Drosophila melanogaster: one gene and its partner. The protein of the gene in region 1 interacts with the protein of each later gene in a pairwise test. Each region holds a gene or a part of one and is shown on either strand. Other genes may lie near its edges.

Region 1 (3,093 bases):
AATTAGTTAATAAAAACTCTAAATTTGTGTTCTAGCAATAAAAATTAAACATAAATTTAAAGAAAAATAGTACGAAAACGTAAAGCTAATAAAAAGTTTGAAAAATAATGTCCCCAGCAAAAAAACCTATCCCAAAACCAAAAAAGAAAATGTTCTAAACTAAAATGTTTACTAAAGTAACACAAAGTTAAACTAAAACACCCCAAAAAGCAAATGTTAAAATTACAATTAAACCTATAAATAAGACACTCAAAGAAAGGAGTCAAACACATTTGAATTGAGAGACGTTTTTCAAATTTCAAAAACCCGATACAGAAATCAGAAAACCGAATCTCGGGCGCACTTATTGGCAGAGAACATGGCGCCAGTTGCCAAAAAGAGAGATAACCGAATAACAAATAAAATAGTTAAATGATAAATCGCAGAACAAAAATTTCAAATTAAAAGGAAACACCTACAAAAACAATTCCATGTTAACATTAAATATAAATAAAGGTAATTAAATAAATGAATACTAAAACCAATTAAATAAGTCACGATTTGATTACATTTTTTGGTGGGATAATTGTTTATTTTTTAATTGTTGTAACTCCTACTAATTTCTTTCTTGACTTCCCTTAGAATTAAATAGAAATATTTTAATTTGTTATAATTTATTATTGGGGTGAAGTGAATAAACAATAAACGTTAAATTGTCGCATATAATAAACGAAATGCATGCATAATTACTTTTGACACCGAGCTAGTTTTGAGAATTTATGCGAAACTTCTCCAGCATTTTGTTGATAGCCTCCTCATCGCCATCGATCTTAGCCTTCTCCTGCTGCAACACCTCCTGGAAAGTCTTCTGCTTAGTGCCCACCAAGTAGAAGTCCTCATCGGAAATGGTGACCTGTGCATCGACACTGGTGGCACTCCCCTCGTAGATGTCCAACGCTTTGAAATCAAAGACTACGATGAGACGGTCAACGGTGGGCTGACCCACAACCAGGCATCCTCTTTCCCACTCACCCATGCTCTTGATGAGATTACCATCCGCATCGGTGAAGTTGAACTGAAACGTGTTGACGACGGTGCGCCGGGCAGGATCCGATTCCTTCAACTTGTTGCGTATCTTCTCGATGATCTCGTCGCTCTTCATGTTGCAAGTGAACCGGCTGAGTGTCGCTGCTCGACTAATTTAGGTGCTGGATTGAGGCAATTGAGGGAAACTCTGTGGATTAGCGCTCTGAGAGATTGGCGCTTTGCATAATGCTTAATTAAAGTCAATTTGTTTCATATAGGCAAGATTGAAGATATTGATGTGAGGAATGGCTGAGGGCATGAGAAAAAAACTGCAAGCGCTTTGGGGTCAGTAGGTATATTTCGGCAGCTCAAATAAGACCACCAACTAAAACTAACTAGGTGTGAAAGTCAATTGCTTATATGGTCTAAGGCTTCCAAAGCTTCAGCAGGCCGTCCTCACTGTAGCTGGCCAGTAGATTTTGATGCGGATGATGTGTCAGGCCAATGACGTCCTTTTCATGAACCTATGGAATAAATATCACGTTTAAAGTCAGTTTGAAAACAAATAGTTTAAAGAGCAGCTTACGTTCAAAGTACGTTCAAGTTTACCGGAGGAGACGGAGAAACAGTAAAGCACCTGATCCTCTCCAGCGCAGTATATGAACTCTCCTCGCGGCGAAAGAGTGGCTGAGATAAAGGCACCGCCCTCGCGCTTACCCGACGAGAAGGATCGCACAATCTGGCCCTGCATGTTCATAATGACAACCGTATTGGATCTGTTGCAGACAATGAAGTGTTCGGGATTCTTGGGCAGAATGAGGACTGTGTTTACGGCCAACTCGTTGCCAAGGGGCTTGTACGTGGCCACGCACTCGGTCGTTTTAAGGGACCAAACCTTTACTGTGCCGTCGGAAGATGCGCTGAGCACGCTGTGTCCGTCAGGCGTAAAGGTGGCTTCGTTCACAAAGGAGGAATGCCCCTTGAACTCCTTCAGCATCTTTCCCGACTTCAGCCCGTGCAGTCTCACCGTGTAGTCGAAGGATGCGCTGAGTACCTGGCTGTTATCTCGCGAGAACTGCAGACAGGTTATTCCCTTGGTGTGGGCTTTCTCGAATTTACGCAAACACTGACCGGTGATGATGCGCCACACCTTGATTTGGCCATCCTGTGCGCCCGATGCCACCATCTCGGAATCTCGTGAGAAGTTCAACGCCAGCACCGCCTGTTCCATCATCATGAACTGGTCCTGCGCCTGGTACTTCAGATCCTTTCTCACCTTGCCGGTGGTAAAGTTCCACACCTCAAGGAAACCGTCCACACTGCCCGTTATCAGATACTGACCATCCGGCGAGAACTGAGCGCACTCAACGTGCGACTTTTGGCCAAATTTGATTTGTCGGAACAGCTGGGTGGGATACATTTCTTCTTCCTGGTCCTTCATCGCCGCCTTGCCGCGGAACAAATCAATGGTGGTGCCGGGCGGAAGGAGTCCCTGGTGCTGTTGCCATTTAAGAGCCTGTCCCAGGAGTGCCAAGAGCCTGGAGGAGGGCACCACATGCACCTCGCCACTTAGCTCTTGGGCAATGACCGTGCGCCGCTTTTCCTTGCTACTTCCCTCTGCATAGGCTTCCCTGGGATCGAAGTAAGCGCGCTGCAGCATGTTTTCTACAGACAAATATACCAATTAGGAATCACGAACTCTAGTGAAACCTTAGAATGGCTTATATTTTACCCAAATGGATGTATCGTTCGGGCTCCTGCTGCTTCAACATGGTCATGGGATCCGTCTGGCGGAGCAGAGATCTTGCTGCGCCCAGTTCTCTGAGCTCGATCAGCTCCAAGACTATTTGCTCGTATAGATTGAGCAGCTTCTTATCCGGTAATTTGAGAGACTGGGTCACTTTTAGCACGGTGTCCCAGTGCCCGTTGGAGATATCCTGCACAAAGCCATCCACGCTGTCCACCGTATTCAGGGAGACACCCGTTTCCTCCTGAAAGTTTAAGATCATTGAAAGACAAACTCTCTCCGCGGTGTGTAAGTACTAACCTGTAACGTTTGCAGGGTCTTCATAAGGTTGGACTCCTTCA
Region 2 (3,759 bases), on another chromosome or scaffold:
TATAGCCCTTTAAGGAGTTTATTATGTTGTAACTTGGATAGAATGGATTCCAGAATAGTTCCGGAAATGACTTGAAACTGTATTTCCGGCTTTCACATTTAATTTACATTTTAGCGTGGACACCTACCGCAATGGTTTGGTTATATGCTAACGCTTTCCTTAAGCTCTTGTAAAAGTTTTGTAAGTACTAGTGTTATACGGAGATTTTGTTAACAATTTCATTGAAGTATTTACATACGTAAGAATTTCAACAGAAATGTATCCTCCCAGTCGGGTTCATTTAAAAGGATTAACGGTATTTTGAAAAATAAATTATACAAAAAGATTTACAATCTATAACGTAGCTTAGAAAATGAATTTCAATTATCATTTTATTATATATTTTATAGAAATTGACTTGAATAATGTGGTGTCCATTGCAAAACGGATTAGCAGGACTAGACTTATATTACGAGTCATTTTTCGATTCTCCCACTTATGTATATTGTTCAATTGACCTTTGATAATACAAAATTGCCTAGATTTCAAATAATATTACGTATACTAAAATTTATATATGTATGAAGTTGTTAGCCAGTTTCTTTCTTTTTTTTTCCATGAAATATTGAAATCTTCCTTCCGTTTTGCTTTGAAGTTCAAGTTATTTATTATTTGTTGTATTCTGCAAACAGCTGTTTGCATTTCGGCCGGCGTCGCAAAAGCAACAATTTTCAACCGCGTAAAGCTTTTGGCCTCTTGAGCCATAATTTCATACAGGTTGCAGGCTTGGAAAAATAACTCAATCTGGACTCACCTACTCACTCTCACTCTCTCCCTCTCCCTCTTCCAACCTTTCCTTTATTCACTCACTCTCCCACGCGATTTTTGGAACAAAAACGACGGCAGAGGAAATGCAGCGCAGTCGACGCCAAAAGGGATATTTTATATTATATATTAAGCCCGTCCTTAAATATGAATTTCCCAATCCTATTCTTATTCAAATTATAAAATGTATATTTAGCTTTAAGTTTAAAATATTGTTAAGTCGTACTCGGCTTCATTACGTAAATATCTTATTCATATAATTTTTGTACACGTAGTGTCACATGATAGAGTAATCAAATAAATGCATTTGGTAATAAGCTGATCTTCTGGACATTCAAATAACTATGCTCAAAAACCTTGCTGGCCCTTGATTCACTTAATAACTCAATTTTAGGACTTTCAGTGGGTGGAAATTTCCCTGGCACCCACGCAAACGAACGGGTTAAAAGATAGTGAAAAAGAGAGAGCGCACGAAAGCAACAATTGCTTACTCTTATGCACAAAGAAAAAATACTAACAACTTCAATTTTTGCATTGAATTACATAGAATTCGATAGAAAAGCCCAGGTCAAATAAAAAATTAAAACAATAATTTAGATAACGACTTATTTGATGTTAGATATTAGATTTAATTCGGTTAATGGGTAAGTTAGAAGAAATAATGTAAATTTTTGCATTGCAATAATGAAGCAATGAAACAAGCTTTACGTTAACGTCACATGAACTACCGTTAGCGAGCGAACAGTGCAGAAAGCGCTCAAGAGCGCGGAGCATTCCAATGCGTTGGAGTAAGAGCGTGCAGAATTCGTGGGAGCAAATTGGCGCCCGAATCAGCCGCTTTTCGTAACTCACTCAATGCGAATTGTTTTCAAGCGCCGGAGAGAATCTATATAGAGGGGCTTCTCCGACTCGCTTCGAATATGTTTTTCGCAGCGCGCGCGTTCGCATCGGAAAATCAGAAAAGCTGGCAAGCGTTTAAAAACAAATTCGGCAGGTACAATTGTTACTTGTTTTCCCCTCAGTTGACTATTTCGTCGCAGGTTTTTGGCCAGCGGAAACCATCGTAATAACCGTTTATCGTTATTTTATTATATTCGCGTAAATCGTTGTTTGTTCAACCACAGAATACTTGTTGTTACGCATTTCGAAAATGGAAATGCGAAAATTTCCAAGCAGTGAAAATCAAAACGAATAAAATATATTGGCTGCTTTTCGTGTTTAGCGCGTACGTGTGTGTTTCTGTGTTAGTGAGTGCAGCAAGAAATAAAACCAAAAAGCAACAAATAAATAAATAGAAAACAAAAGCAAAATCAAATCCAAATTCAAAGGCAAATACTTGCAAAGTAAGTTGATAATATCAGAGTGTGGTGCTAGCATATGTTGCATTATTTTGCCCAGCAATTTACATGTTTTTCACATTTTCTTCTCTCACAAATGACAACTAACTAATATGGATGATATTAACGGTGTTTAGAGTTGGCTTTTCCATTGAGAAATATGAAAAAATGCGTTCAATATGTTAGCGTACACACACACACAAGCGGCGGCTAACTGTTGTTTGTGTGTATGTGGGTGAATTGGCAATAACGCGCACGTGTATTAGTGTGTGTTTGTTTTTGTTGCCTTTGCGGCCAAGTGGCAGCAAAACGTTGCAAGCAACAAAAACAATAACTACGATGGCAAAACAAGTGCAGTCAGCAAAACCAACTCAACCAGTGCCTCTCGCGCTCTCCCACTCTCTCTCTCTCTAATACCCAAGCCCACCTCCTGCTCCCACACTCACCCTTCTCCCTCGCACCCATTGACGCAACTGCATGGTCAGGGCTTCTTTTACTGTTACAAAGCTCATGCGTGGACCCAATAGCAAAATGAATGCACGATGTACTTAGTTCATTAATTCCGCCAAATCAGAAATTATAATTATAAATGTACGAGTTTAATGGATTAAAGTTAGGTGTACGTAATTTTTTTAATTGTATGACCACTTTGGTGAAGCATAACCGTGGTATGAAGCTATTACAATTTCATGAACTTGGCGGCATAAACTTTGCAATTTACTATCTATGGTCGTCTTTGGATTTTTGGCTTCGCGCTTTTTGCTCTTCGAAGTGCGCTGCTCTCTTTGCGCCAAACAAAGCTCGGCCGACACTTGTCGCGTCTTTTGGATATCTGGCCTCCTCCCACCGCCCACTGCCTCTTTACATATATCTTTTACATTTTTTGCTTTCATACACTGAATAAAATTATGGGTATATACCGTACTATCAAATGTTTCTGAGTAAAAATTAATTTAAATAAAAAATTTAATTATATAATTATAAAATTATTATATAATCACTTGTATTTAATGTTGTATGTGTTGCAAATCCATTAATACTTTTAAACTTCTAGGCTTAAAAACAAATGTCTGTGAAAAAAGTGGAATTCTTGGAAAGTGTATCTCTTTGGCTTTTCCACCTCGAGGCGTTTTCGCTTGAAGCTTTTGCGAGTTTGGTTCGATTTCCATTTGCGTTTAATTGCATTTATGCATTTTTAATCGAGTTTGACTTTGGTGAGCTTTTTACTTTGGCATATGCTAGATTGTCGCCCAGACACACGGGGTTTTTTTGGGTGAAAATGGGCTCTTGCTGATCCAAAAGATAAGTTTCAGTTTCGTCCTTCTTGGTAGTGAGATGTTTGGACAAAGTTTTCTAATTGGCCTTGACGCCGTTTTCAGAGTTTTAGTGCTACTAAAAGGCAAGAGTGCGAACTTTCTGCGTCTTTAATAAGATAATTTATTTGCAATTATAATTTGGTTCATTAAAGTTAATTGAATTAAGGGCAGGCGTTACATTCCAACCAAATGGAATGACAATGGGTGTGGGGTTAAAGATAAAAGGATTTTAGTTAGTGAGGAATATATTTTGTGATAATAACGGGTAATTAAATTTTTTTTTATTTTAAACTGAACCGCTA

What was found. The genes of interacting proteins can lie anywhere in the genome.
Region 2: the proteins of euc (region 1) and mtgo interact in a two-hybrid assay, tested with the Drosophila melanogaster proteins (one large-scale study listed by BioGRID).

What each region holds. Positions count from the first base shown.
Region 1 is NT_033777.3:18,977,633-18,980,725, forward strand, and holds euc (eucalyptus), read right to left. Parts: upstream 1,178-3,093; 5' UTR 1,142-1,177; coding exon 1,012-1,141; intron 952-1,011; coding exon 743-951; 3' UTR 641-742; downstream 1-640. Other genes in the region: Smu1 spliceosomal factor, read right to left, coding at 1,431-1,529, 1,592-2,670, 2,738-2,996, 3,053-3,093.
Region 2 is NT_033779.5:16,543,292-16,547,050, forward strand, and holds the start of mtgo (miles to go), read left to right. Parts: upstream 1-1,724; 5' UTR 1,725-2,147; intron 2,148-3,759.